Linked DNA regions of Schizosaccharomyces pombe. The protein of the gene in region 1 interacts with the protein of each later gene in a biochemical or structural test. Each region holds a gene or a part of one and is shown on either strand. Other genes may lie near its edges. The genes, in order: scd1 and scd2.

The links.
Region 2: the proteins of scd1 (region 1) and scd2 form a complex in vitro, tested with the Schizosaccharomyces pombe proteins (2 studies listed by BioGRID, with this or other methods).

What each region holds. Positions count from the first base shown.
Region 1 is NC_003424.3:3,513,751-3,530,290, forward strand, and holds scd1 (RhoGEF Scd1), read left to right. Parts: upstream 1-1,796; 5' UTR 1,797-2,079; coding exon 2,080-2,104; exon of another isoform or gene 2,105-2,182; coding exon 2,183-4,776; 3' UTR 4,777-4,984; downstream 4,985-16,540. Other genes in the region: protein Pos1, read left to right, coding at 279-380, 437-1,144; rsm7 (mitochondrial 37S ribosomal protein uS7m), read right to left, coding at 5,144-5,389, 5,477-6,010; transcription factor TFIIH complex subunit Tfb1, read right to left, coding at 6,792-6,869, 6,913-7,456, 7,514-7,697, 7,743-8,405, 8,451-8,537, 8,575-8,620; SPOM_SPAC16E8.18 (uncharacterized protein), read right to left, coding at 8,900-9,223; protein Png3, read right to left, coding at 9,386-9,894, 10,175-10,246, 10,294-10,348; SPOM_SPAC16E8.13 (ubiquitin-protein ligase E3), read left to right, coding at 11,554-13,197; AdoMet-dependent proline dimethyltransferase tae1, read right to left, coding at 13,406-13,591, 13,634-13,743, 13,845-14,112, 14,259-14,319, 14,357-14,391; translation initiation factor eIF4E tif45, read left to right, coding at 14,409-14,635, 14,704-14,878, 15,013-15,267. UniProt on the Schizosaccharomyces pombe protein: Required for mating and morphogenesis. May contain a cryptic binding site for cdc42 that is enhanced by binding Ras. Interacts directly with scd2. Promotes the exchange of cdc42-bound GDP by GTP.
Region 2 is NC_003424.3:2,374,362-2,390,308, forward strand, and holds scd2 (Cdc42 GTPase complex scaffold subunit Scd2), read left to right. Parts: upstream 1-8,142; 5' UTR 8,143-8,810; coding exon 8,811-8,819; exon of another isoform or gene 8,820-8,872; coding exon 8,873-10,474; 3' UTR 10,475-10,792; downstream 10,793-15,947. Other genes in the region: kap114 (karyopherin/importin beta family nuclear import signal receptor Kap14), read right to left, coding at 1-1,862, 1,919-2,024; ppa3 (protein phosphatase type 2A), read left to right, coding at 2,994-3,154, 3,221-3,291, 3,404-4,095; SPOM_SPAC22H10.05C (cleavage and polyadenylation specificity factor complex subunit), read right to left, coding at 4,367-5,665, 5,811-5,882; SPOM_SPAC22H10.06C (uncharacterized protein), read right to left, coding at 6,959-7,240; metallothionein Zym1, read left to right, coding at 7,369-7,521; SPOM_SPAC22H10.08 (uncharacterized protein), read left to right, coding at 11,546-12,904, 12,961-13,080; protein Cbp8, read left to right, coding at 13,372-15,312; alp21 (tubulin-specific chaperone cofactor E), read left to right, coding at 15,725-15,879, 15,918-15,947. UniProt on the Schizosaccharomyces pombe protein: Required for mating and morphogenesis. Interacts directly with scd1 and with cdc42. May bridge and facilitate scd1 and cdc42 interactions.

The DNA.
Region 1 (16,540 bases):
CAGAACAGTTGTCTAAGTGATCTGTGGCTGTAAAACGTTAGAAAGCCGGTTTCTCAGATAAAATACCTTAACTACAATCGAATTACTAATTACCTCAAAAAGTTTCGATTCATTTAGACTAATCTTCGTACTCATAAAATATTATTTTTACAATACATAGTTATAAACATTTGTTACTCGTTTCGCCAAGTCACAATTTCCGCTACTCATAGTAAGTACTTGGAGCTTCCATGTTTTAAGCTAGTGCCAAACGCAGTATATTTTCGACTGTAAGCGCGATGGCCTTTTCTCCAGCTAATTCCTTTTTAATTAACAAGTCGATATGTGAGAGCAAAGAAGTGGAACCTTTAGAAGCCAATTTGTTTGGCAAATTGCACAATGTATGTAAAGTTTTAAATAGAAACATTAATTCAGTGTGTTAACATGCAAAATTTAGAAATTATTAATTTGCAAAGCCAAAAAAGAAAATTTGGAAAAGAAACTGGCATATCAAATGATGTACTCGAAGCTTCTCAAATCTTTACCCAAGTTAAGCAGTCTAGAGGAGAACAAATTAACCAAACTAAAGGCTCCTATAGAGGATATGGAGAATACGAAGAAAGAGCTGGAAGAAATCAGGAAACAATCCACTGAGACAGAGTTACGTTATCTTAAGTCTCTATCGAACACTTTGAGCTTTGGTACATTATCTTTATCAAACGAGATTAACAAGGTTGGTCCTTCAGCTTCTTTTATGCTGAAGGAAGTTCATGATAGCGTACAAGTATTGGAACAACGACTTGAAAAGATGGGTCTCATCGAAAAGCCATCCGAATCTTCTGAATCCTCTATTTATTCCATCTTGGCTTCTTTAAAACATACCAACGACAGTTTACAGAAAAAAGAATTATCTCCTCATGAAATTGCCGAAAGTCCCTCTTCTCATTCGACCTCTCCAATGGGAAGAAACGTTGACACAGAAACACTGTCTTTTTTACTTATTGATTGGCAACGATTATGTGCAGAACAAAATACCTTTTTACGTGATATCACTAATAATATGAGCTCTTCTGTTCCTCAAGATGTATTATCTCAACTACGACAATTTTTCTTCCGAAGCGAGTTGTTGTCAGATAAGTTGTCAAACTTGTGCTCCGAGTCCTAGTCCTCAAATCTTTCCTATTTTCCCTTACTTATCTTTGTTCTTTCTGTCAAGCACTCACTCCTTTTACTTTAATATTTTTGTTTTCAGTCTTTTTATTAAGCCGTTACTCTCGTTATCCCTGTTTTATACTTTTAAGTCATCAGGTCCATTCGTTATCATTTTACTACTGTATTTCAATACGTTCTTAACATTAATTTTTTTAACTTTTTTGTCTCTTCTTATCAATTGAAAGGCTGAATTGGTTTATTTAGCATCGTCGTCCTTTTTAAAGACCTCACTCTTTTCTTGGACATCTACCTTTCCTACCAAATTTGTGTCTTACTAATTTTTTTTTTAATTCCCGTTCAATACATGATTTTCCTTGTTACATTACTAAAACAATCGCTCTACTTAATTTATTTACCAAATTTGCAAGCTTGCCTTTTGTAATCGTTTTAATATTGGGATGGTTGGAGATATCCCTTCATTTTTTTAGCAATGAAATTTCAGTTGCCAGCTATTTTATCGTCATAATATCTCCGTTTCAAAAGACTTAGCAGTAGGATTTTCTATCAAATGAACTGAAGAAACAAGTATATTTACCGTAATACATTTACGATACGCTATTCGATTCAACTGATCGCCAAGTGTCTCACTATTACCTTAGTACCTTGTCAACTATACATACTGTGATTTTATCAATTGCAGTAAAACAGCAACTTATTTTAGACAATTTTACTTTGGAGTCAGTTTTAATTTTTATATTTAATTCCAAAGAAACTTCAGGCTTTTTTATGTTTAAGAAATCTTGAAATTGGGTTGTTGGTTTGAATTTCCATTAATTGTTCAAGCATTGGACTACATGCGAGTACTTATACTTTTCTAGCAGTTAAAGGAAATTTTATTTTCTGTATTTTACTGCATTAGGAAGGAGTCTCGAGAAGAAGTTATCAGTTATGGCCTACTTTCAGGATCGCAAAAGTATGTAACGATTGAAAGAAATTTAGAACACAAAAACGCCATTTATGTGTATGCAATTAACTAACTAACTTCTAAAAGCATCCTCTAGGTCTCTTCCTTCTTACATCAATCACAGCACCCAAAACCTTGTAGGTCCTCGTAAAGATGAGACTAATCTGTCAGAATACATGAAACTTAGGCTTTTACAGTCTCCGTCACAAGTTATTTATAATTTAGAAAATACGGTTTCATTATACAGACGATGTCTAAATCTCCGGAAGCGATTGATGGATATATCAGAGTTGGCTGCTTTCTTTGACAGTATTCATCGTGAAGCCTTGAATAGCTCTTTCAAAATACTGGAATTTAAGGACATTGAATTTGATGATCCAGTTACGGAAATTTGGCTGTTTTGTCGTTTAGGTTATCCATTGTGTGCCCTGTTCAATTGCTTGCCAGTTAAGCAAAAATTGGAAGTTAATAGTTCGGTTTCTTTGGAAAATACGAACGTGTGTAAAGCTAGTTTATATCGTTTCATGCTCATGTGTAAAAATGAACTTGGACTCACAGACGCCGCCCTTTTTTCCATATCAGAAATTTATAAACCCTCGACAGCTCCACTTGTTAGAGCTCTTCAAACCATTGAACTTTTATTGAAAAAGTATGAAGTTTCCAATACCACAAAATCATCTTCTACTCCTAGTCCTTCTACTGATGATAATGTACCAACAGGAACTCTTAACAGCTTGATTGCATCTGGCCGTAGAGTCACTGCCGAATTATATGAAACCGAATTAAAATACATTCAAGATTTAGAATATTTGTCCAACTATATGGTCATACTTCAACAAAAACAAATTCTATCCCAGGACACTATTCTCAGTATATTTACGAATTTAAACGAGATTTTAGACTTTCAAAGACGTTTTTTGGTTGGTTTAGAGATGAATCTTTCGCTTCCTGTAGAAGAACAACGACTAGGCGCACTCTTCATTGCCTTAGAAGAGGGATTTTCTGTTTACCAAGTGTTTTGTACAAATTTTCCGAATGCTCAACAACTGATCATTGATAATCAAAATCAGTTACTGAAAGTTGCGAACCTGCTTGAGCCCTCTTATGAATTACCAGCTCTGCTGATTAAGCCTATACAGCGTATATGTAAATATCCGCTTCTCTTGAATCAATTACTAAAAGGTACTCCCTCAGGTTATCAGTACGAAGAGGAACTAAAACAAGGAATGGCTTGTGTAGTTCGTGTAGCAAACCAAGTTAATGAGACTCGTCGTATTCATGAAAACCGAAATGCCATTATTGAGCTTGAACAACGTGTGATTGATTGGAAAGGATACTCTCTTCAATACTTTGGACAACTGCTAGTTTGGGATGTTGTTAATGTATGCAAAGCCGATATAGAAAGAGAGTATCACGTTTACCTTTTTGAAAAAATTTTGTTATGTTGTAAAGAAATGTCAACTCTGAAACGGCAAGCCCGAAGTATAAGTATGAACAAGAAAACTAAACGTCTTGATAGTCTTCAACTGAAGGGAAGAATTCTGACATCCAACATCACTACTGTGGTTCCCAACCATCACATGGGCTCATATGCTATTCAAATATTTTGGCGTGGTGATCCTCAACATGAATCTTTTATTCTTAAGTTACGTAATGAAGAAAGTCATAAACTATGGATGTCCGTTCTTAATCGACTTTTATGGAAAAACGAGCACGGATCTCCAAAGGATATTCGTAGTGCTGCTTCGACCCCTGCTAACCCTGTCTACAATCGTTCTTCTTCTCAGACTTCAAAGGGTTACAACTCCTCCGACTATGATCTTTTACGTACACATTCTCTTGACGAAAATGTTAATTCTCCTACAAGCATTTCCAGTCCCTCTTCCAAATCTAGTCCGTTCACGAAAACTACTTCTAAGGATACAAAGTCTGCCACCACAACTGATGAAAGGCCATCGGATTTCATTCGTTTAAACAGCGAAGAATCAGTGGGTACCAGTAGCCTTCGTACTTCGCAAACAACATCAACTATAGTTAGTAACGATTCTTCATCGACTGCATCTATTCCTAGCCAAATCTCTCGTATCAGCCAGGTCAATTCGCTATTGAACGACTATAACTACAATCGTCAAAGTCATATAACTAGGGTGTATTCAGGTACTGATGATGGGTCTTCAGTCAGCATTTTTGAAGATACATCTTCATCAACGAAACAAAAAATTTTTGATCAACCTACTACTAATGATTGCGACGTAATGAGACCTCGTCAATATTCATATTCAGCGGGTATGAAATCAGATGGTAGTTTGCTCCCTTCTACTAAACATACTTCGTTAAGCTCGAGTTCCACGTCTACCTCCCTATCAGTTCGAAATACCACGAATGTTAAAATTCGTCTCCGTTTACATGAGGTTAGTCTCGTCCTGGTTGTTGCTCATGATATAACATTTGATGAGCTGTTAGCCAAGGTAGAACATAAAATAAAGCTTTGTGGGATTTTGAAACAAGCTGTTCCTTTTCGGGTTAGACTGAAGTATGTTGATGAGGATGGCGATTTTATAACCATCACATCCGATGAAGACGTTTTAATGGCATTTGAAACGTGCACGTTTGAACTTATGGATCCTGTCCATAATAAAGGAATGGATACTGTGTCTTTGCACGTTGTTGTTTATTTCTAAACTAGCATTGTGCTAGCTGTACATTGTCAATTTAATTTATATAGAGGAAATTAACAGTTTAGTCGATGAACTAATTTACTTTCCCTTCTTTGTTTTGAAAAAACAACAATATACTTCATAGAAGATAAATTCTGTAGCATTTCCGTTAACTGAAAAGGAGCTGTAGAAGAATGTTGATGAATATTATGAAAGTTATTTTACAACCAAACTATAACCTCATAAACATGAATATGATTAACTGCGCACTACGTAGTATAATTGAGTTGATAACTAAGAGTAATCAATTCTCGATATACTAGACAAAAATAACATTACTAAAAGGGAATGCAATTCATAAAAAAGATAAAAATGTACGGAATTTTTGTTTTTATATACGAACGGGTGCATTACCTCTGTTAACAAGGCACATTCTGTGCAGATGATCTTTCTTTTTGAAACAATTGCTTGTCTTGCTCCTGATAGCAATGATTTCTTTAACAATACGATCTGATAATCTTTTAGGACTTGATGATTTACATTCACCGAGGATCCATTGTAACGCAATCCTTCTTCGCTGTCGCTCTTTCAATGGCATAGGAAATTCGACACTTTTGTTAAATCGCTTTGCAGAAACCTATCAAAATATTAGCAAATCCGTCTACACACTATAAAAAGAAATAATTCACAAAAAATTCCAAAATTTTCAATAATTTCGACGTACCAACTTCATTAAGGGAGAAATCTCAGCGATTGCTTGTTTCAAAACATCTATAGGATTTTCACCGGTTTCTTTTTGTATGATAGAGAGCGCTGTTGCAACAATCTTTTCAGCTTTAGCTTTTTTCCCATCTCGCATTATTAAATTCACCAAATGCTGTACTGTAGAGTCGACCTGAAATGGTCGATCTATTAACCCTACAATTGAACTTGACGGAGAAGGCCACAGATTTGTACCCATTAGCGGCGGTTCTTCATTTTCAACTTCAATTTTTTTCTCTAATTCACCCATAAAATCGTCGGAGGCAGACTGTTCGACAGAATCTTGAAGTTGATTCAGTAAATTTTCGAGTCCCGCATTATCCCATTGTGGATTTGAACGTTCATTGATATCTTCAATTTTTTCATTATATTTTTCATTTGAGGTAAATTTTCCAACTTGAAAAGTACGAGTCTGATGGATAAAAACAAGCGACTCTTTCATCAAATGTCCCGAACTCGCACATCGAAACAAAGGTTGCTTTATGAGTCGTAGCATGGCCCTTTATTGTTTGTTCTTTCTTCTTGAATGAAATTTTTAAAACAATTACTCTTATTAATCAAAGCATGTAGGAAAGCTAAGGTGTGCGTAGATGTTTAAGCTTAGTACATATACACTATGGATAAATGAAAGAAAAGGGAAGGGAACTAGGCGCTAGCGTGCTACATTTCAAAGTCGTTTGGCTATTTATTTATTAACTTGAAATAAGATAAATTAGGTAATCGATGTTAAAATATTCATCATTAATTGTGTATCCAAATTTAATACTTGAGCTAGACACAGTTTTATTGGGATCATACAGAACTGATACCTTGAAAGAAAGTAAAAAAAAAAGTTATATATAATATACAGAGAAGCGATAAATTGAAAAATTGTAAAAACAAGCATTTAAAACAAAAGAGAGAAATTATGGGACATTAATTAATTGAACATCAGTTTATAACATACTATATTCGTGTCATAAAACGAATTTTAATAAATAATAAAATCTATAAAGACATAAAAACATTAGATTTTGGCCTATGAGCACAGTAATCTAAAAACAGTTTTGATTGTCTTTTGAATCTATAAACCAAAACAAAAGTTTTTTAATTCAAGAGTTGTATAAACAGAAAAAGAGCCATATCCAGCATTTCAATGTTCATTTTTTCCAGCCTTTATGAAGAAAGAACATTAAGTCCAATAAAGAATATATCAATATATCATTAACCTCTATATGGAAAAACAGAAACAATTACCTTTTACAAGCACAATTGAGTTTCCAAAGACATTATCAAACCTAAGCAGGAGGATAAGACATTCGTCTTTGATACTCCGAGATTGACGTATCAATAGAAGTGAGCGTACAGGATACCAACTAATCCTAGTTAATAATCAAAATCTCTACAAAAAAAACTTACCTCATAAACCAGTTTTGGATCAACGTTTTGTTCCTGAGCCTGGCTCGCAATTGCCTCCACCCTTTTTTTCGAATTTAACAGAGCATTCTGAAGGGGGGCCATCGCCTTCTTGTCCGGGAAAGTTGTATTCAACAAGGCATTCCAAAATTGATGCAAAAATTCTATCGTAACGGTATGGCACAAAACAATTTCATTTTTTATGTCAATAGGTAAATTTGATGCAGTGCCGTGGGTCTCAAACTCATGCTTTTCGCGCATACTCTGAGTAAGCTGCATAGCGGCTTCAGCCAAAGAGTCAGAATCATGTTCAATGTGATTTAAGCTTATCGAATCTTCCTGGTATAAATGTTGAAGAGCTTCCAATGAAGGCAAAGGCTCTAAACCAACTTGATTTTTTGAGGGGACAAAATTATTTTCCAATAACTGATCTTGACCTTTGATTTTTAAGACAACTTTAGAGTCACTGGCTTCTTCTTCTAAATCGTGAAAACCAGATTCTTTTAAGTATGTTTCTTCATTTTCGTTGTTAAATCGTTTAGAGTTTCTACAAGTTGTTAGGCATACCGAAGCAATAACAATTAATAAAACCGAATATACATACCCCAAACTTTTTTCCAAAAGTCTTTCCGAAAGCTGATTGATGTTTTTCATAAACGGTAGAGCTTCTTTGTCAATTCGCATAGTGATATCAGGTCTAAGTTCTGCTATTACATTTGCATTTTGATCATTTCCTTCTAAATCAAAGAGGTGCGATGCAATAGGTTCATCCGATACTTTGGTTACCTCTTGAAAATGTTAGAAATGGAATTCATCTAGGTTGGAGAAATTACCTTCATTATCTTTTAAATACTTATCCATTATATCATCAGAGGGATCCATTGGTGTAATTCTGTCGCCACGAAGCTTTTTACAAAGCTTGGAAAGGAAAAATCTACTCCAAAACTCTCCTTCTGCTAGAGGAGGCACATGCTTGTCATATACCTTTCGGAGCAATGGATGTTGTTCAAACATATCGTGAATTTGCTGGCCGGTAAGGGAAACTTTCATTTGGTTGTCCACTGTTTTAGGTTTAATAGTAGACAAGACATTATAAGGACCACGCTGCTGAGACCTTTCTACAGCATGAGCGCGGAGCAAATGAAGCCTTGTGCTCCAAAATTGCTCATTACTTAAATGTCCCTTCATAACTGCTTCCTTAAATGTTTGTAAGAGATCGGGATTGTTAGTAAGCAAAGACTCTTGTAAGTCGATGTCCTTTTCTAGATTCGTAGAATTTACACGATCGACATTGGCTCCTTGTGGTTTAGATTGAGAGCCTTCCCTTTGTCTTTGTATCGCATTTCTCAACTCATTAGTAATCATATCACAATTTTCTCTGGCATTAGGAGTACCGGTGAAATGAAATACTAAAGAAGTGGGATCTTCACCTTCCTTTACTACTATAAAAACACGAATCATAACTTTTGGATTAGACGCTGGAGTAGTTTGAAGATCTATCAATCTGTCAGTAATCTCGAAAATGCAACAATTATTATTACTCGAAATTGCATCAAAAGCAATATCTACTGATGGTGTTGTTTTCCCTTCCCCCGTCCATTTTAATCTACTATCGATAGATAATACGCCTGCATGTTAGAATCATTGATTTAATTGTTATTTTACCTTGTTTTTTTCTGAATATGGCTAATGCTTCTACCCTGTCTCCCATCAGATATTTTGGTAGTTGTGGAATACACCGCTAGTCTTTTACGAAATTATCAAGATTTGTTAGACACAGGATGAACATTGGAAACTACGAAAATCATTAGAAAAATAAAAGTTTTGAATGGTTTCTTGATGTCCCAAATCATATACACTTAGATTTTGGGTAAATATATCCTCATTAAGTTGAGCTATGAACATAGGTAACCTATAAGAGACAGTTATCTAAAACTATAGCCCTGTTTTATTTTTAAAAAAATACAATATGAATTAATCATATACGCAATCAATCCGACCCTTCAGAGCAGTAGACAAGAGTGGTTGTTGTTCCATAAAGTACAATGCGTTTATCCCAGGTAATACGATATATCTCAGCCAAAGAGAAAGAACCAACATGTGAAAAGTAATAAACTATCACTACTAAAAGTTCAAAAGATTCGTAATGTCCGCCAAAAAACTGATAGTGGCTACAAATAGAATTTGTAGAGTAATTCAAATGTCTAAATACGTTCCTTTCTAACATAATTCCTGGTAGTATTATCAAGTAATTGTTTCCAAAACATGCAAACTCTTTAAACGTAGCATTAAGTATGAAAGAAGTTACCTCCATTCGAATCAGTATGGAAAGACATGAGTTTATATATGTTTTCAAAGTGACTTCTGTTGAATGACTAGAATTTAGTAGCTAATCCCGGATAAACTATTATTAGTGTATTTCAATTAGAAAAACAAAAAAGCAAGAATTTTAATAATATAAGGCTTTACGTAAGTTTCAAGATTTATTGTAAGAAGAAACGTTTGCACTGCTCTCTGAAGAATAGGGAGAGAATTGTTTGATGTCGAGGTCTTCATTTGTGGTCTCGGTTAATTCCTCTGTCTCTGGTAGTTTACCAGAATCCGTGATTATTTGCTTTTTATCTCCTTCCTCCGATGCGTTTTCAGCTGCTAGCAATTCTTTAGCACGGCGATTCCTTAAATTGGCTCTCCGCCGGGATGCTCTAATAGGTCTCGAAGTTTTTTGCTCTTTTATAACCTCTGGAGTGAAAGGAATAAAAAAATTTGGTAATTTCATTTCCATCTTTTGATAACAGTGTTCTAAACGTAAAACATTACTATGAGTAATTGCCTCTGCATACATTGCAATGTGGGATTTTTTTCGAGTTTGTACATCATCGGATTTTAACAGTAATGATAAGTTTCGAGCGACTAAATTACGACGTTCAACACTAGTATCTCTGTTAAGAAGGTCATCAATTGAAGAAAGAGCTTGTGAATACACATCTGAACATGTTAATCATTTTAAATCAGAAAAAGGCAAGCTCTAGATAGGCAAGTTTTGATAAGAACAACATAAACTTATTATAAGCCTCAGTAGCGTTCAAGTCCTTTTGAATAACATATTCAAGGTTCAAACAAGTCCTAAGCAGATTGATTAAACATTAACAAAGAAAATCAACACCAGAACGGTTTCACTAGTAATCTTTCATTTTTTTGTTTATTATCAAAACCTTCACAGTTGTTCAAGCAAAAAATCCCAATCTATAATGCCACTATCACTTACCCTTTAGTTCAGCCTCTAAAAAACGGACTTCCGTAAAATTTTTGGATAAATCACCCGGTATAGCTTCCAATGCTAAATAATGTAAGAAAATTATTTATTTACACATGTTCATTTATTACCGTCAGCAAGTTGTATAAGAAGATCCAAGTCATTTTCCTTTTTTGGTTTTGCCATGGCTGACGACTTGTCGATTATATACAGCTATTCATGAGGATTCTTTCTAGTTTGACTTTTATTACTTGCCCAAGGTTAGCATTGCTTTTTGCTTCCTTTTGTTTACGTCTGTAATATAAGTGCAATCGAACCAAAGAATCTCGGTTTTCCACTTATAAGGCTTGCTTCAAAGCTTTTTCAAAACTTTATTTTATATAGCTGTTCTCCAAAACACACCTAGCTTCTTTTACTTGAGTATGAACTATTGTACCTAGTTGGTAGTGGTCGTTCATGAAATGCGTTAAACTAGGAAAATATCGTCCCGAAGAAATACGGGATCCTCATGGGTCAGTGATCAGTTTTTATAATAAAGTAAAAAATTCAAGTCATTTTAAAGTATGTTCATTTCAAAAGGTTGCTTGCATTTTAGTCAATGGCCAATCCGTCAGCTTAATTAAGCACATTCATGTTTTCATACGCTTGCTTGGCACCTCTGGTTCTTTTAAGAATACAAAATTATTTTTTTAGTGATGGTCCCAGTTTATTCAAAACTATCTCCTTCTAAATGGGCTGAGAATCTGAGAACTTCCTGAATGGTACCCCCAGAATATACTAAATACATGCTTGTTAATTGTTTTTTTTAAACCGACGGGAAGAAAAGGGCAGAAACAGAATACAACATAAATTGTTATTATATTATAAAATATGCGGTTCTTGGAATCATATTAAAATCTTATCCTAGAAGTATACAACGCGAGACCGACAAGTAATTGCATAGAAACATAGCTCTTAAAGAATCGATTTTGTAAGACACTTGACCAATTGTAAAAGAAAACGAATTCCTAAAATGAAAAGTTTTCAATTCAATTTTTGCATGTTCAAATTCATGTATAATTTCACCATGCAGGCTTCAAGAGTGAGTGAATATTCTATTTTAAATTAATGCTATTTTTCTAGCTGAATAAATCCATTAATAAAATTGCTCATTTTATCATTATTTATTAGGATTCATTTTAATCGTATTGATCCGTATCTATTACCAGTAATTAAAATGAAAGTTCTTACGTAGTTCATCTAAAAATTATTTATTTTTCACTTAAATTTAAAAACTTCTCAAAAATAATAAAGGATTTGGTGTTACTAACATTACAGACCTCAGGTATTCTATTTCTACTAACACCATGCCAAGTCGTTTAGAGCCATTACCAAGTATTGATGTTTAATGCATGTATTACTACTTAGAAATTGAATGTGAGTCTCCTGTAAAAGATATTTTTACCTGTAATAAAAGGAGAGCATCTAAAGTTGTTGGTAATTCTTTTGGAGGCGATCATTTTAATTTTCGATTGGGTGAAATAAAGTTATTATCAATGGATTTTCCATCTTCTAAAGTTCCTGAGGTTGAGGAGACATCTCTTGGACATGGCGTCGTTCATTTATACAGGGTATTTCCTTCAGAAAGCCATGAATTTGATGCGCCAGGTCTAATCCTTGCGATATTGGCAATTCCCTTATATATGTCGCCCTCCGATGTATTGGGTTTTTTGGGAGAGAAACATTGCAAGTCAATCCAGCATATACGTCTTCTTAAGACGAAAGATCCAAATCGGATCATGGCGCTGTTGAAATTCAAGGATCAAGCAAGTGTTATTAGGTTCTATACAGAGTTCAATGGCAAAGCTTTTAGCCAAATAGATCCTGAAACTTGCCACGTTTTACATATTGACAAAGTAAATATAAAATATCCAATGGAGAGCTCTGATTCTTCTTCAACTGAGCAGCAACTAGTAGGCCCTTCCTCCAAACCTTTTGCTTCTACGACTCCTGCCCTTATCGAGCTTCCTACATGCGTTGTATGTTTAGAACGTATGGATTCTTCAATTACTGGTTTAATTACCATTGTGTGCCAGCATACTTTTCACTGTCCATGCTTGCAAAAATGGGGAAATTCATCATGTCCTGTATGTCGTTATACTCAAAAAGTACAGAGTTCTGAATTTCAGAGCAAATGCACTGTATGCTGTTATGATAAAGATTTATGGATTTGCTTGATTTGTGGTAACATTGGATGTGGCAGATACCACGATGCACATGCTAAGCAACATTATGTAGACACCGCTCATTGTTATGCTATGGAACTTGAAACACAACGTGTTTGGGATTACGCTGGAGATAATTATGTTCATCGCCTATTGCAGTCTGAAACAGATGGTAAATTGGTAGAATTGTCGACAGACGGAAAGTCTTCAGGCTGGACTGGTTCCAGCGCTACGGAATCAAAACTGCGGGACAAGATGGGACTAGAGTATACGCAGATTTTGGTATCACAACTAGAGTCGCAGCGCCTTTATTACGAATCTCATCTTTCTAATATGTCTCAAAAGTTGAGCCGTGTTAATGAAGAACTCGTCTTAAAGACCAAAATAGCTACGGCCTCTTCAAATGCAAATACAGATCTTCGTTCTCGCGTGGATATTTCTGAATCCAAATTAAAGAAAAGAGACGACAAGCTTAAGCGTGTCTCGTCTCAATTAGAGCATTTGAAGCATAATTATGAAGAAGAAAAAAGTATGAATGAAAATTTGCTGGTTCGCATTCAGACATTGGAAAAGCAAAATACAACAAAGAGCGATCAGATCGTTTCAATGCAATTTCAAATTAATGATCTTAATGAGCAACTTAGAGACCTTATGTTTACTATTTCTGCGTCGCAGGAGATTCAAAAAATGGGCCAATCCGAAGAATTACAGAATGGAACCATCGTTCTTCCTAATAACTCTACGGTCAGGTCTAATTCTGTTAAAAGTAAGAAGAAGAAGAAAAAAAAACCAGTCGTTCCCAGCAGTTCTGGTTCACTAGGTACAGACTGATATATTTTTACTACACATTTACGAGAATAACGTTTCATTTTTTCAATTTATGTTTGCATATAAAATAAAAATATTTATTCTTTTTGTTCTTATTACTTTTGTAAAAGTCAAAGCTGTTTCAGCTGGTTTTGGTAGTCCCTTTTTCAACAATAGTAAGAATCTCGCGCTTATTTCAATTGTCAACCATCAATTTCGAACAAGTTTAAATTTACGAGGAATGAGGAACAAGTGCATACATTTTCACAGGAAACAATTCTTCAGGAAAGCCATGTTGCAGAGTTTCTGCTACAACTACTAGGTTTGCCTTTTTAAACAGGGACTTCAGAGACTGTTCACAACGTGTTACGCTACTATCAATAGGATCAAAGGTGTCCTCAAAAGATGAAACATTTTCCTAAGAAGTCAGTTTTTTCCTACTCACATATGGGATACGAACCTTTACGCAAATGACTCCCTTCTCTTGAATTGCTTCACAACAGCGGCTAAGATAGGCAATCAAATCCTCATCTGTGAGATGGGACAAACACCATTGGTTCCAAATCAGCCCTAAATTTGTTAAAATTTGTTAAGATGACAAGCAAAGAAGTGGATCCTAGAGATTAAGCCTCATCTTGGACAAAATAAAAGCATCTAACTGATATACATACCATAACGGTTTTTTTCTGGAGTCCAATTTTGTAATCCGACATTTATGAAAGAGCAAGGCTTGGTTGCAAGCTGTTTTTTTGCCGTGGATATGAAATTTTCAACAGGTTCCACAAGATCGACATGAGAGGCTATCTTCAAAAGCACATTTTCAGTGACCCTTCCTATACCTGCACCACAATCAGCGGCCACTAAGTTTTCGATTTTTCCTATACGATAATTGAGACGATTGAGAAAAGTTCGTGATCCCACTACATCAGTTTGAGGAATCTGTAGAATGTTAATAATACAAATTATTTAAATAAATAGTCTTAAAAAAAGATAGAGATGTAACAGTAAGTTGAGATTGAGTCTTTTGAACGTTTACACCCGTTTTCTAAAAATATAATTCTCTTGGTAAATTTTCTTTTACATACACGACCAGTTCCCAGCCCTCCAAGCATTCCATCTACAGTTGGTTGAACTCCATTCCAATAGCTATTAAATTAGCCAAATTCTGTAAGCTTTCACATACTCAATCGCATCGCTATAAAATTTCTCGGGGTCCATTCTTTCTAGCCAGAACCATGCAGACTGAACAACCACCAAAAGAGTCACAGACCGAAAATACCGTGTCAGAACCGCAAGAAAAAGCTCTGCGGACGGTTTTTGATGACAAAATAAATTTTAATTTGAAGCATCCTCTTGCTAGACCATGGACTTTGTGGTTTTTAATGCCACCTACTCCTGGCTTGGAATGGAATGAACTGCAAAAGAACATAATTACTTTTAATAGCGTAGAAGAGTTTTGGGGGTAAGTAAATTGCTTATTCATTATTGTGATATTATAAATTGCTTTAACATTACTAACATTCGATTCAGAATCCATAACAATATCAATCCTGCATCTAGCTTGCCTATTAAGTCTGATTATTCTTTTTTCCGTGAAGGAGTTCGTCCAGAATGGGAAGACGTCCATAATAAGACTGGAGGTAAATGGGCTTTTCAGAATAAAGGCCGTGGAGGAAACGCTTTAGATGAGATGTGGTTAACTACGGTAGGTTTGATTGTTTTTAATGCTATGAGAAAAAGGTTTTTTGTAATATTTTTATTTTAAGTGAATACTAAAAACAGTTTTTTCACTCTTTTCTTTACTTTTTAATTTTTGGTTCGCAGCTAATATATCGCTAGGTTCTCGCGGCCATCGGTGAAACTCTCGATCCTACAGGCCAAGAAGTAATGGGTGTAGTTATTAACATGCGTAAAGGATTTTACCGTCTAGCAGTTTGGACCAAGAGTTGCAACAATCGTGAAGTGCTTATGGAAATTGGTACTCGTTTTAAGCAAGTTCTCAACTTACCCCGATCGGAAACTATAGAATTTAGCGCTCATGAAGATTCTTCCAAGTCTGGTAGCACTCGCGCCAAAACTCGCATGAGTGTTTAAATGATAAAAACGCTCTTTGTTTACAAAATAACTTTGGAGTTTAAAAGGTCCATGCTGCATAGCTAATTTGCTTATAATTGAAGAAAGGGAATTATTAATTAGCAATATACATATATTTGTGCGTATTGGGTGTATATTCCCAGGGTTTAAAAAAAGTTGATTTGAATTAATTTGTTTTACATTACTTTTCAATAGTATTGTATTATCATTACAGCGGAAGTACAAAAAACGACCTTATTGAATGGGTGGATAATTTTCGAATGTAGGAGTGCTGATGAGTTGCAGATGTCTTATCTGCTTTTCTGTAGGTAAAAGCATGTGAGCTAAAAAGTGGTCGAGGAATGAGATGGGAGAGACTGTCTAATCAAAAATCGTTTAGTTTTCCTTTTACATAATAATATTGAAAAAACGAGCGTTGGTGTCCCTTCTCTTCAATTGTTTGCATAATCGTAATACAGTATTCAAATTAGCAATGAGGATTCTTTCGGTGCTTTTAAATGTGACAATTCTGGTAATTATTTACTTTATATTCAAACACTTATCCATTTTGTTAAAAGGTTTGTTTGCTTCTTGTACTTAACTTTGAATCTATATGATGATTTTGTAAATAGTGTATTGAGAGAGAAGGAGAGTCAAAATTGCTTTAATTATTGCAAAAAAGTGTCTTACAAATTCAGCTATGCCACCATAAAACTAAGAATTTATTGCTCTAAAAAAGAAGCATTCCCTTGGCGAAAAAATATTGGGGAAAATCTACCAAGGGGCCAATTTCTTGTTAGACTTTTGTTAGCCCTCCTTCTTAAGTTCTTTCAATTTCCCTAATAATTGAATGGTATTATTTCTACCAGTTTACTACTTATTTTAATTTTGTTGTACAAATCATAGATATTATTTTACACAGTTTTATAATAGTGAAATCCGTTAGTATTTTTTCTAAGTATTATTTTTTATTATTATAATGGATAAATATTACTATATAACTTTTTAGCTAGGAAATAAAAATACTCATATTTTAACATCAAGGTGGTATAGCGCTTTCAAGCAATTTGTGCTAAATGACATTAGTATCGTAGAGAAAAGTTAAGGATGCTTTGTAAGATTTAATGCGTCCGTTATTATTCGTCCTTTGAGATTTCAAAATTTAGCTATGGAGATCTGGTCTTTTCCATGCATTGAATTGGTTCATGTAAGTTTTTTTTATATAAGAAATATCATTTTTTAAATAGTAGCACTTTATTGTAAATTTTTGAAATAATTGAGATAGCGCAAATTT
Region 2 (15,947 bases), 1.1 Mb from region 1:
ACCTGCACGAATCAAACAAGAAAGCAAGGTAGCCCCAATATTAACCATAATCGGGTCTTCTTGATTCAGGACCTGTAATAGTTCTGGCAAAGTAATTTCACACATACTTTCATAGTTATTTGCCGCATGGATAATGTCCTCAAAGGTGTCTTCAATAATTCCACAGATGTAAGGATCAGAAGCGTTCGTAGCAACCAAATTAAATAGAAGTGGAATAACAGAATTACCTAATTCAGCAGCCTTTGCACAATCAAGTTTTACCGCAGAAGAAATAGCTTCCACAAGTAATACAAGAGCTTCATCGCTTGACTTCGAAGCATACTGAGAAAGAACTTCCAAAATCATCGGCTGCAAAGAAAGTATCGGTTTGACTTTTCCGACTGAACAAAAGCGCTCAATAGCTTTCATAGCAGCATACTGTACAGTATCAACTTGTAAAGCATTAACCAAATTATTCATTATTATTTGGAAAAATTGAGAGGCTACTACGGTGCTTTCAGAGAAATATCCGATAAAGAGGAAAAACCTAGAAAGAAGTAAAATTGGAGCATCGGAGTAATCAATACGGACTTTGATAGCCTCGTATATGGGGTCCAAGTAATCATCATAAGTGTCATCTGAAGCAGCATCCACGGAACAACATGCATACAAGAGGGCTTCTTGATATATCCAATTGATTTCATTGTTTAATATGTAAGTCGCGGACATTTCTCGTAGACTTTGCTGGATTGGTAAAGTGGTATGCTCTTCAAATGCACTTAGTACGCTGATGGCGGCACCGCGAACCGTATCACTAGCAAAATCCATAGAAAATTCGTTTGCGATATATTCACTGACATCGCTTTCATATACTTCAATTTGATGCTTAGGTAGTTGCGTATATTGCACCAGAAGTGGAATGCAAGGAGGTAAAGGAGGTACGGGGACCGTATTACTGACAAACAAGTTTTGAACAAACTTGCTTTGCAAAGCTACAGAAACGAATAGCAGTAGTTCAACTAAATAACGAATAGGGTATTTATCACCAAATGCTGAATCATCTAAACCATCGCTAAAAACAACTTCTCGTATATATGGATCTAGTAACTTTTCTATAATATTCCAAACAAGTTCGACGAAGGTCACAACGTACGGTGTCAATTTAGAAGGAAACAATTCGCGAAGTTTTGTAAGAGTCATAGCAATTTCTCCCATGATACAAAAATAACCACAGGAATCAGGTAAAATAACTTGTCGATCATCAACGAGGGAAACTTCAAACTTGTGCGAGAACATATCCATCCAAGGGGGAAGTATTTGTTCAAGAAATACACGAACATGTTCAGCTTTCGTTTCTTTATAAATCTCAATAAGTTCTAGGCAAGAACGAAACAGTTTAATTCCTCTAGCTTGCAACATCCTCATGGAATCATTAGGGGGAGCGGAAAATATAAACTGATAGAGAATGGATGCAAGTTGAGGTGCAATAATAAAGAACTGTTCTTCAACAAGGGACTCATCTACAAGCTCGTCCAGAACATCCAGTGAAGCATTAATAGAGTTTTCATTAGTAGATTGTAAAAGATGCAGAACGGCCGGTACAACTTCTGGCCATTCATCGGGATAATCCACGTTTGCAATTAGAGAAACAGCATATGCCACAGCCTTGATTAAAGTGAAATTGTCAAGGCTCACTAAAAGATGTAATAGTGTTTCTCTGACATGTTTTTTGACATTTTCATCGGGTATCGGTCCATCTTGAAATTGCTCAAACAGTGGAGACCAATGGTGAACAATATATCTTTGTAAATAAATGAGAGAACCTTGTCTTAAAGGAACAGAAGCACCAGAAGATGCGATATCTGTTAACTTCGCAGCAAAATCTTCGTAAAAGATAGTTAGTAATTTTTTCGGTTAGTTTATAGCTTAAGTAGCATACCGTGATATTTCTCAAGGTCTCGTAACCCCAATTCGGCTTGTATTCTTGAATTAGGATCAGCAGATTGCACTTGTTCAAGCAGCTTAATGATTTTGCTTTCAACCATTTAGCGTGATAATAGACGTTAAACAATTGGTAGGTTTTGATGCTATCTGCTTAAAGAAAGTAGATAATAATAAATATATTTATGTACAGACGGGTATAGTTAACCCCTTAAAAATGGCTGTATTTAATAATTTTTTATGCAGGTATAATGCAGGTACTACTAAGAGTGAAATGTTACTAGGAAATTCATGTTCAAAGAAGTGGATGGTAAATAGGTGACATTGTCACTTAAATTGCTAATGTCTAACAAAATAGTGTTAATTGAAACAATAATTGCTTGTATTGTTGTTCATTTAAAAAAAAAATTAAAAAGAAAGGCCATGTAACTATTACTATTTTCATTCTTGATTTTCCTTATATTTTAATGTATTGCATAACTGAGTTTTTTAATGACCGACTGATCTTTGAATACAAGAATATACCTAATCAATTATCGCTTATTTTCAACCGAAATATTTATCTGATGGTCTGAAACGAGAGAAGCACTAAACCTTTTCAGCAGAAGAGACAGATATTCATATAGAATGTCTGAAAGAATTTTAACACGTTTTTCAAGCATTATGTAATTTTTGTTCTTTGGGTATACCATTAGAGGCTTTCTTAACTTAAAATCTCATTGGCGAACTACACAGTATTATGTATTAATCGTGTAGTTTCGATCACTGACAAGTCAGAAACCAACCTCCAAATTTCATAAAACTGACACATACAACATTTTAGTGGAATTTTTCTAATGCGTGCAAATAAAGAGAAGTAACGCGTAAGCTTTCCATATAAGAAGTGCTTAATCCTTTGTTTTTCGAAGCGTATCCGGTCAAAGCCGATTAGACTGATACAAACCTTGGGTGAAATTTTCCCTAGCCAAGCACTGTTTGTGTCTTCTTAAATTATATATATCCAATACAAAACGGTGCAAGACATTGTTTTTGTATTTTAATAAATCTCACTAGTTTCACGGAAATTCCTAAAGATGATTGACCTCGATAACATAATAGAGAGATTATATGAAAAACAATTGATTGCTGAGTCCGTTATTGCTTATCTTTGTTCTCTCGCAAAGGAAGTTTTAATGCAAGAAAGCAATGTTGTCAGGTTGTCTACTCCCATTACCGTGGTTGGTGATATTCATGGGTATGCATAGATTCAATATTGCAAAAAGTTCATTCTTTGTGGACATTCTGCTTACAAAGTATATAGCCAATTTGATGATCTACTTGAAATCTTTCGTATAGGAGGCCCATGCCCATACACAAACTATCTTTTTCTCGGTAAGTTAAAATGATGTTCATTAGAATCACATTAGCTGATTACTACAAATCATTAAAACTGAACATTGAGAACACAGCACATGCTTTATTATTCGTTGCTAACTATTTGAAGGTGATTATGTTGATCGGGGCTATTATAGTATAGAAACTATAACCCTTTTGATATGTCTCAAGTTACGGTATCCAAAGAGGATTACTCTTTTGCGCGGAAACCATGAGTCCAGAGGAATAACCCAAACCTATGGATTTTATTCAGAATGCTTAAGAAAATACGGTAATGCTAATGTTTGGAAATATTTTACCGATATCTTTGATTTCCTAACACTTTCTGCAACAATTGATGACACTATTTTTTGTGTTCATGGTGGACTTTCTCCTAGTATTCAGCACATAGATCAAATCCTTGTCTTAGACAGGTTTAGAGAATTCCCACACGAGGGACCTATGGCCGATCTCGTGTGGTCGGATCCGGATCCTAGCGTGCAAGAATTTTCACTTTCGCCCCGTGGTGCAGGTTTTTCTTTCGGTGAAGTTATTGTAACAAAATTTCTAGAATACAACAATATGAAGCACATCTTACGAGCTCATCAACTATGCAGCGAAGGTTATCAAATATTGTTTGAAAAAAAATTATCGACAGTGTGGTCTGCCCCAAATTACTGTTACAGATGTGCCAACTTGGCTAGCATCCTTCAGATCGACACAGATCAATCAAGATTTTTTAATGTTTTTGATGCAGCTCCTAATCAAGAAACGCCTTTTGTGGAGCCAGCTGCAAAAGTGACAGCGGAATATTTCCTTTAGCTGGACCTGAATTGACAAATGTTAATTTTTTTCTAGCCTCTTTCAATCTATCCTTTATGAAGTTACTGTCGGCATTATATATAATATTTTCAAATCATCGTTCATTAATCGTCGTGCTTTGTAAACCTAGAATTACAGAACAGCGCATCATGCTTGTTTTTTAACAAAAAAATAAGTTTATCTAACGAATATATATAAATGATATAATTTGCATAATTTTTAGTACTCTAGGAACATGTATAATAAGCTCGTGTAACATTAAACGTTGAATTTACTCCTGCCATTTGCAAGTTCCCATTATTAAAGCATTGCTGGGAAGTTGTTCAGGAACTGGAGACAAAAGAGTCATTCTGTTTTTAACATCATCAACGTCCGAAACAAACACATATCCTATGATACATGAGTCAACAACTGTTGCTTCATCTTCATCTTCGCCGACACTTGAAACTGCTAAAATGGAGTTTTGTAAAATGGTCATTGCTTCAGTACTAATTCGCTCCAAAAATTCGCCCTTGCCATGTAATCTTAAAGATGTATTTCCATCTTGCTTTTCAGATTGAGTATTTTCTTCTTCAAACCCTAAAGGAAGGACAGAAGACTTAGGTCCGCTTTCAGACGCCTCCAAAACACGATACACTACCAGTTGGGTGGAATCAACTATCATAGACAAAGGAGAAAGAGGCATCCGATCATCACCATAAAAGTATTGCTTAATGCAACGAGCCTGAAATTGTTGAATCCATTCTTCTTCGCGATCAATACAACCACCACTTGATGAAACTTTCACCACAGACAACCAGGTCGCATCAGCATACTTACGTTTCATACTGCTGTACAATCTCTCTGAACCAAGTACAATAATAATGTTAATGCGGAAGTCTGTAATTATAGAATGAAGGATATCCTGATACTTCTCAGCATTTTCTTGAATGGATGAAGTATCTACCAAACAACCAGACACTCGGGCATCTTTACTTTGGGACATTCTAGAATGCACCGCCAAAGCTAGCCTAGATAATGAAAGCTTATAAAGCTTAGGATTATCAAGTGGTGAATCCAAACCAAAGTTATATACCAGTGGTACTTTGGCAAGAACGTGAGTAGGACCAGTAGATGTGCTTGCACCAAAGCCATCAGCATCCTGAATGTCAAGAATAGTGGCATTGTGAAATGCAGAAATAGACCCAGGGAGAGCCAACATTGGTTGAGTAGGATCAAGGTTAACACAAATTGGATGTCGAGATTGTTTCAAAGCGTATGATTCTAAAATCTTCAAGACACTTGTTTTACCACAACTTCTTGGGCCAATGAGGCAAACACACGGTCCATATGAAGACTCATCATTTGCAGCGGCATTTTCGGCTTGTAATCTAAGGCCTTCCAAAGCAAAATGCAAATTTAGATATGTACTCATAGGAGTTTCTTCAGCAACATACTCAACGGACGGTTCACCTTCAACTTCTAAAGTACATCCCTGCCATGTATATATCGCTCCTTTAACACGAGTAAAATGATATGGTGGACCTAAAGCCAATTCAGTGCCAAAATATTCTGCATTTCCAGACACGAGCTAAACATGTTAGGAAAATACTTCCAAGAAAGAAAAAAAAAATTTAAAGAAAGAGTTAAATAAATTAAGTAAATATTTGCTAGAATCTGAAGTAGCAAAAGTAAGCTACTTCATGTCGTAAACAACAATATCACCACGAACTTACTCGAATTTGAATTGCCGGTTCGTCGACCTCAAATCTCCATTCACACTCTTTCGGAATGAAAATTTCTTTCATTTCTTAAAAATATAAATGGATCTAAGCAGCAGCTGAGACCGCTGACTGTTCAGGATGAAGACAAGAGAAGCTACGAAAACTATGGTATACTAACTCCATCTGAAGTGCAGATAACGAAGAATATGATACTTCGTAAAATGTTAGCTACTGAAGGGTAGTCAATATAACGATATGTGCCACAGTTGAGTTTTTATTATGATGCTATATTATCTTATACTGGACGACTTATGACAGAAAATAAGTATATTTTTAGGCCCATAAGTTCGTACAATATGTGATTCTGTTAAAGGGAAAGTTGTTTAAAATGCAAGATAGCATGCGTTAAAACTTACTGACCGAACCTGAAAAGGTCCACTTGTAATACTTCCTGTGCAAATAAGTGGATACAATGTGTGTATAATCCACTCTTCAAGCGAAAGAAATAAACATGGAAAAGAGAGTATAATACTAGCGTAACGAATAACTAATACCAAAAGTTCGTGATGAGCTTCCGCGTAGACATTTATAAGTTGTGCAATGCCTCAGTTGTTCTTATGCCTAATTTCTATTCACTATTAATAAACGCTCGATGTTTTATTTTGCTAGAAGCTTCACCACGCGATTAAACATGTAAACAACTATATACTCAATCTATCTGTCAATATAAAATCTACTGATAAAGGAGTACATAAACATAGATAAGATGCATAAATCCAAAAACTTTATGCTTAGAAATAAATGTAAACAAACGAATTTAACCAATGTTTTCAATGTAATTTTAAGTTAAAGTTTGCAGAAACAGAGAATTCTAGAAAGTAGGAAAACTGTAGAACTATCAGTTTCAGCTTTTACTAAACTCGTAAAGACTTACTTTTGCGTATTTTATAACCAATGTTAATAGTGAATTTGACGGACAAAAGTGAATTCTGCCACACCCTCCTCATATATGCCCTCAAGTCTGATATTTATTCAGTTGGAAGGCATAGCTAGTCTGTATGAATTTAGAATCTTGGAGTAAAGCCATTGCGGCACCTACCTTTTGGCGGGAACTATTGTGGCGATACGAACGGAACCCGAGTATCAGATGATGTAAAGTGTTAATATTCCTTAACAGGACCCAGAATCAAAACAACACCAGTACTACGCAGAGATCTACCTTTACCAACTGGATATAATATTGAATATGATACAACTAACCCATTCTTAATATGAGATTGTTTTCTATTATTCATAAATTTATGTTCATTTGCTTTGTAAAGTCCAATCACTTCATTTGTTTGGTTCCATGAAACAACAGCATGATTTGTGTACAAACATCTAAATACGTATATGCATTTGCCTCTCCAAATATCCCTGCAGATCCTATATCGACATGACATGATACTGTCAATCCTTTAGCTTGGAAAATGTATATAAAGGCACCCTACTCTCACCTTTTTTACCACTTTAAGCGTGCTTGAGACAATCGACTTTCAACAACTCATATCACCCTAACAAACTTTCAACGATGGAACACACTACCCAATGTAAGAGCAAACAAGGCAAGCCTTGCGACTGCCAATCCAAGTGCGGTTGCCAAGATTGCAAAGAGTCTTGTGGTTGCAAGAGCAGCGCTGTTGATAACTGCAAGTGCTCTTCTTGCAAATGTGCTTCGAAGTAATCTATATGAGATTTACGGACTGTAGTTCTGGCCTTGACGAAATATTTCATCCATAAAGCAATGTCCGCCTCGTCTTATTGTTTTTCGAAGCATCAGTCGAGAAAACAATACTATTATGGACCAACGAATCGCCCTGATGTCTTGATCCTACTACATTGCTACTTTTTTACAGAGCATTCTTACTTACAACTCAACTCTTAAGATATGATTGTTATGAATAATAATGAAATCATAAATTGATTTATTTTCAACAGCTATTTTTGCTTAGCGTAGAGTAAGGGCATCATCTTCTTGGAAAATCGTCCACTATTGTGGATTCTTTTCCACAATAAATTAGTTTTATGTGCAAAAAAAGATACTCTGTATCAATTCAACCAAAATTATGTCTTAATATTTTAACGGCACTAACGAACGTTTGTTTCTTCCTTCTATACCATTGCTAAGTTAAGCTCTGTAAAGCAAATGTATACATTATATTTGGGTAACTACGGAATCTATTTTTCATAGCGAACGCTAATAGCGCGTAATCCTTTAAACTGTTTAATACTCATTATAATATAATTACGATAGTGAACTACAATGCTACGCGACAAAATTCACTTCCAGAATTAACTGAAAGGTAACTTGAACATAGAAGTTGTAGATCTGTAATTTTATACTTGGTAAGAGGGAAATTAATAAGAGAGTCAGTTGGGAAAAATTTTAATACGTTTCCTTGTTTAAAATTGTTGAGTTTGTATTCTTCTAATATATTACTTTGCTGCTTGGACCAACTCTCATTGTTCTATATTAAGCCTCTTTTCCCGTCCTTTTCTTCCTTCATCTATCTTTCAGGGCTCAGCAGTTCAGTCACTATAATTGAGTGTCTGCTAGCTTCTTCGTTCTTTCTAATTACAACGTGCTAACAAATCGATTTTGTCTGTTTTGTGAGAATATTATATCCTGTATACTCATCTTTCATAAAAACGACAGCGTTTTCAAAGTGTTTGGAAATTAATTATTGATTCATTTACAATATATTGCTTTCTTTAAATCCGTGCCATTCTTTTTGCCTTTTCTTCATACATTCCTTTTGCTATCTCGGATCTTAATTCATATACCCTTACAGTAGGTTATCGCTTTAACAGTTTGTCTGTAATTATAATTTCCACTTGATCGTTTTATGAAAATTAAGTTAAATCTTTTTGTTGCAGGGAATTCTAATAGTTAGAATCTTTCTGAGATTATTGTAATATAATTTCAAATTTTGTTCTACTACCTTCTTTCTTTTTGTTCTAATTCCAGTCTCTATGTTAAAGGTATGCTTCAAAAAAAATTTTTTGTTAATTAATCAATTATTAACCATCTCTAGATTAAAAGGACTTGGAAAACTCATAGTCGAATTCTTGATAAAGATCCTTTTTCAATTGAACCCCCGAGAAAAGTTATTAGGGCCCTTTATGATTACACAGCTCGTAAAGCAACTGAAGTTTCATTTGCCAAGGGTGACTTTTTTCATGTTATAGGTCGTGAAAATGACAAGGCTTGGTACGAAGTTTGTAATCCCGCTGCAGGTACTCGTGGCTTTGTTCCAGTATCTCATTTTGAAGAGATAGGAAAAACGGTCAAATCGGAACGAGACAGTGATGGCAGCGGGCAAATATCATTTACAGACTTAACCACCAATTCTAGTACCACTAGGAGCTCAATCAGTGAACTCCATTCTGGTTCACAGCCGCTATTTGGAATTGTGCAATTCGATTTTGCTGCTGAACGACCAGATGAACTTGAAGCCAAGGCGGGTGAGGCTATTATAATTATTGCTCGGTCAAATCATGAGTGGTTAGTAGCCAAACCTATAGGACGATTAGGGGGTCCAGGTCTCATTCCTCTTTCATTTATACAACTTCGAGATTTAAAAACCGGAGCTGTGATAAAAGACGTTAGTGAGGCTGTTTTACGTATTTCTTGCATACCTCGTGTAGAGGATTGGAAACGTGCGGCTGCTGATTATAAAAAGAGTAGTATTCCTTTAGGGAAATTCAGTGATGGTGAAACTCAAACTATGCCTAGCTTAAGTCCAAGCACTGAAAATTTACAAATTAATAACGATGTTACATATCAAGCTGCTACTGACAATTCAAGCACTTTTCCTGGTTCCGTCGCTAACGAATTAACACCTCTGCAAACATTGGAGTCGCGTACGGCTAGCATCGCTTCTAAGAACAAGAAAGACATGTCTTCTGAACCTACCGTTGTTGCTGCAATGGTGGAAAACTACATGATTCGCGATGACCAATATTGGTATTTGGTCCGTGCCGTTATGAGTGATGGAAAACATCGAAACCTTTGTAGATATTACGAAGACTTTTTTAATTTCCAGACGAAGTTTTTAGAGTTATTTCCTAATGAAGCTGGTCGTGGGGACGAAAGACGAGTTATTCCTTACATGCCCGGTCCAGTTGATGACGTTAATGAATTAATATCTTCACAAAGGGCAATGGATTTAGATGTATATCTGAAGGAAATGTGCAGGCTTCCAGCTCGTTTACTCGAAAATGAACTCGTCAAACTTTTCTTCTTACCGCTTGACGGAGACGTTGAGTCCCCTCATCCAACTAGTACGATGCCTGAAGCCTTACCCAGAGAACCGTTAAGTTTCTCTTTGCCAGAGAAAGCTCCTGAAAAAGCTACTAATATCTCTATTCCCGAATCAGCTCCGACTACTGCAGGTTCGACATGCAAAGTTAAAGTCAGATTAGGAGATGAAACCTTTGCTTTGCGCGTTCCCTCTGATATCTCATTTGAAGATTTTTGTGAACGATTGACTAATAAACTCGGAGAATGTGAACATTTGTCATACAGAGATACGAACGCGAATAAAGTATTACCTCTTAATAATGTTGACGATTTACGGAAGGCATGTTCTCAAGAATCAGGAGTTTTACTTTTTGCAGAAAGACGGAGGTTTTGAGACTATGTATATTTAAAGATTTGGGTTTCTTATTACGTTCTTGCATTTTATTTTTTTTTCGTTTCGTTCTTTCATGGTTTACTTTTATTAATTTAATTTCATCGGTATAATAGCTTTCTTTATCTTTCTAATATATCTGTCTGTTTTTTCGAGAGGTATGCGTTTTTGGATAGTATTTAATCACGACCGAATAAGATGCAAAATGTTTATTCTCCTTATATATTAGCTTTCTTGGAGGTAAAATAAACAAAAAATCTCAACTATGCACTCCCTTTTTGTTCACAATCATTCAATTGAATATTTTCATTAGTTGTTTGATACTGTTCCTCCAAACATATATGTATTTGACGTATTTCAAAAGGGGATAAAGGTAAGCCTAAGTAGTAAAATAAAAACGTTTTTATTGCGAGAAGTTCAACATTTCTTGACAACGTCTTAATCAGCTGAATCAACGCAGATTTGGTAATACAATATCATGTCGCAGTAATAAATTGGTTCATATGAACCAGCTACAATATCGATCACGTATATTATATACAGCCAATTTGGTAAAGGCAATTTTGCAAACTACCTGTTGATTCATTAAACAATTAGATATTGGAAGCCGGAAACGCTTTCTTCTATACATTTACTTCATTTATGTATACATTATTTCTTACATTTAATGTGACCACAAGTAACATGCTGCATACATTTAATCCAATACTAAAGACGCTTTATCTTGTTAGTTTATCTAAAATATTGCTTTACTACATGCATACTTTCCTTAATGCTTATCAAATTTCAAAAATAAAAAATGCTCATATAATTTCCTTTTCCGTATACTTAGAATGGTGGCATCTAAAATAGCGGTAGAAAATAGTACCTGTTGAAGTGACAAGTAGTGAACGCCCAACCTTCGATATAGATCAAAAAACAATAAATTACAGCTGTGCAGTTGCTTTTATTTCAACATTGCAAAAACACATGTTAAATTAAAATTTTTTTTTAAAGATTCCCTCACTTTAATACTTCCTCCTTTTAATTTATACCTGTATGATTAATTCATGAGAACGTATTCTTTACATAGACATGGACGCTGAAGCCTTAAGGAATTTGTATTTGTCATCCATTCTCCCCAATGAATCTAAAACGGGTAATGAATCACCTGAAAAGAAATTTTCTTCTCCTGTGTTGTTGCAAAGGGCCAAAGTGATTCCTTTGAGACTTGAATATGAAGAAAGAAAGCTTCTTCATTTACTTACTGCTGCATTGGATGTGAGTGATTATACCGACAGCGTTGATACCCTAAGCTTTTCGTCGCCAGCGAAAAGACTGGCTCAGCAATTGAAAGGAATTACTGCAGTTTTGTCGGGTATCATGGTTGCTTATGATTATAAAGTTGGACAAGAATTGCTTGAGCATAAAAATTTTGAACAACATGCCGAATTTTTTAAAAAGATTTTTGAAATAGGTCGACGTTATAAAGTGCTAAATCCCAACCGACTGGGGTCTACTTATGGGAAATTGATGTACTTTGTGCAAGATTCTATGCGACCAGAAATTCAAGACGCACTTGGATTTAACCTCTTTAAACCCATTTTGACTGTCTATGAATTTTTGAATGAAAGGGATGCTTTGAACGCATTAGAAGATCCTTATGCCGAAATTGCTACTATGGAAATAGTCGCTGAAAATAGATCACGCTCAGCGATTCAAAAAGATATTAAAGCGAAAGAAAGAGCTGTTGAACATATTGCAAAAAAGTATTACAGCAGCAAAATTACAAAAGAGAAAGTACGATGGTGTCTCTACTCTATTGCTGATAGTAACAGTTACTTGAGATATAATCGTGATCCAATTGCCAAACTCATAGGCTTGGTAGAAGCATATTTTTCTCCAGATACCGTGGACGATGAGTTTACTCTTGCTATTGATGCCATTAATGGCTCAAGACTAAAGCATAGTCATTACAAACAGTACCATTATGTTGTGCAAAGTTTGCATCTTTGGCTTTTAATTATGGGAGAAATATTTTCATTATGGGCTCTTAGTGATCTGGAGTTAACTAACCCAGATATGGAGTATAAGCTAATTGATAACAATCAAGGAATACACAGAATGCAGCCTTGTCCCAACATTAGAATTGCGATGGAAAGGATTTTGCGGACGGCTCAAGAACAGTCTGAAACATGGATAGGAAGTTCAACAATCCATCTCGGAGATACCGCTGTTCCAAATGCCTTATTGTTTATAGACAAGTATATGCAAGTGCCAAGGATTTTAACACCCTTGGTTCTATTGTTCAAGGAGTTAGATTCTTTAAATGACCATTCTCTTCTTAACTACATTGATACAGCTTTTGGAGGCAGAGAATATTTAAAAAAGACTATTTTAACCGATTTTATGAGATTCGGATTTGATGGATCTGGTGCAGACAATTGGTTTGATGTAAGTTAAAATTATCTATCTATATATATATCTGTTTAATTACTAACTAGCTCTAGGCTGGCAGTTGTATTGATGGACGTTTGACTAGTGCCTGGAATTGGGCAAACAACATACACACAAAAGATTACTATCGTGTACTTCTCATGTCCGGATTTCTTAGCTTCAATGGTGAGTAATTATTTAGTAATGGATTAAAATACAATCTTTTAAGCATCAGTTATTTTATTATTGCAAAAATGTATATAAATTCTCGACGTGTAATAGGCTCCCACCAACAACTGCCAACATCAGGAAATCTTATTACGTTTCGCGTAAATTGTTCAAAAGATTGACATAAATACACGTACCAAAAACCTTTATTTACTTTATTTTATTGAAGTTGGTTGTATTTAGAGATACTTTGATCGGTTTATACTTAGAATACTTTGGAGATTAATTTGATAAAGGATTAAACCTAGGATGCGTTTATGTTGAAAACCCTTAGCAAAGTGTCAAAAAACTTGTCAAATACAAGTGCTTTTCTTGTCAAGTCGAAACCCTTATACATTTCTTTTTGCACTTGCAAAGCGTACTTTGAAGACAATACTTCATTAAGCAGACGGTTTTTCTCTGCAAAAAAAAGTTTACAATTCAAATCTTTAATAAGAAAGTATTCTGAAGACTCTACCTTGGCCTGGAGAGATTATGAAAACTATAATGATGATGACCTGCTATATCAACGTGAGTTATCAGAAATATATAACAAATGTCTGAAAGCTCTGCATCCGTTTTACCCAGTTTTTGAGGTTAATAGTAACTTGTATTATCAGTTGCTAATGTTTACGAATTATTCAAATCCGAAAGATAATGGTTTTTCAAAATTGCTTTTCTCACAATATTCTGACGAAAAAAAGGTACTGGTAAATTTCGTATATAATGTGCTTCGTTTAGATCCGGATTTGCAAAGGCAAAAGCGAATTCTGGAGAGCATTATTTCAGCTGCCTTGAATATTTGCGTATCTACTGTAAATTTGAGTAGAACTGACTTAAAATCTTCTTTAAAAATAATTTTGCAAACAATTGATCTGTTTAAATATGACAGTTCATTCTCTTCTATATATTTTCGAAAAGATGGACCGTACCACAAAGTTGAAAAACTGCTGAAAAGCGCTAATATTCGCTCTTCACTTAATTCAAAAACTTTTAATGATTTCCGCACACTTTTCTTGCTTCTCATTAGAGATTACAGTCTTTTCCATGGAAATTCGAGCCATTGCATGTTAGCTAATTCTATGCTACCACCGTCTATTGCTTTTTCGAAGATGGAGAAGGCTGAAATTTTTTTACGTTTACGTGCGTTTTTTCAGCTTATGGAGCATATTGATAATGAAAGGATAACTCCATCTGAACAGTTTCTGGATAAAGTCTTTATATCTCTCCTTTCGGCTAAAAATAGCTGCTCTCTTAAAATGTGGCTCATTCACTCATTTAATAAGGGATGGCCGGTAAAAATTGAGTTTTTTGTTTCTTTTTTCAAAAATTTTTCCAATATAGTAGAAGGCTCTATGGAGGTCTATTCCGCATATTTACATATTATACGAGATCACTACAATTTATCTGATTTGGCTGACGTACAAGCAATTTTTCTTTCTCGTTTTATTTTATTAAGAAAGAAAGAAGATTGCAAAAAACTACTGGAGCATGTTTTACCTATTCGTCAGCTTTTTTTGTTAAATTGCTATAGCCTGCTAAATGTACTCGCTAATTACGTTGTCGTCTTTAAAGATCGTTTAATTTTTCAAGAAATAAATCAAAATTGGGAAGAGCATAAAGGCCAAATTCCGGAAAATTTTATTTTCTCTCTTTTGAAGATGTTTGGTGAAATGCAAGAGAATCAAGGTTTTTTGAATGCCTGTATTTATTATATAAACAAAAAGAAAAATTTAAACGAAGTTAGTCGTTATAAGATTAATTTATTATTACTACAAGGTGTGAATTCCTTCGAAGTAAAAGACTTTTACAGAAAACGAGGAATCGAAATAATGCCAAAAAACCTGCCCAGATTTTTTTGTTATTGTTTAAAAAAAAATAAATTAAGTTATGCTTTAAAGTATATACGGTTATCTGGGCTTCAGTTTGATTACATTGTTGATTGTTTCCGTAATAGCAGCGACTGGACCAGAACTCTGATTTCGATATTGAGCAAAAAAATGGGAACTGAATTCGCAATTCGTTTTTTAAAGATAATTTCTTTTCCTTTGTTATCAAATGACAAAGTTCTCCGAGAGATCGAATTTTTTGCCATTCACGAGGTAAATTTTAGAAGTCTCAAATGGGTTGCAGATCAACAATTGCGAATTCTCCCAGGATGGAGTTCTCGCCCCCAAAAAGCAACATTTCCTTTATGTACAGTTCATTTAAAAAAGTGATAATTCTCGATAGTGCTGCTTCCAATCTACATCGTGCTTGGTGCTTGATACATTTAAACGCATTGTTTGATAATTAATATATTCATTGGTATCAAGTTGTACTTTACGAGGTATGCAGCCAACAATAGATTATTTACATTAACATTGAGAGACTTAATAAAGCAGCACATTTAAAAATGAGATCGACATTAGAATCAAAACCCGTATAATAATAAGCAGTATTTCCAACTATTTTCCTAACAAATCTGATGCCATCTATATTATCACTACGTACTGAACACTTCTATGTCGCAAAGAAAAAGTGCGGTTAAAACTTTTTGTTGTAGATAAAAGACAAAATTTGAAAGAAACAAAAAACTTAAACTGCCCAAATTTTTATAGCAATCCATTTTCTTTCCCACGTTGATTAATAATGCATATATCCACTGGAATGGTTAGGGCTTCTATATCTAATACTTTAGTAACATTAACCATCGAAGGAAACAATGATCGATACCAAGTCATACTTGATAAAAACGTAAATGCAAAACAGTTTGTTAAAACGTGTTGGAGAAACAAAAAACCATTGTAAGATTGTTATTGACGACAAGAAACTAAACTATTAGAATTGTAAAAGAAGGAAAAATATTTGTAGA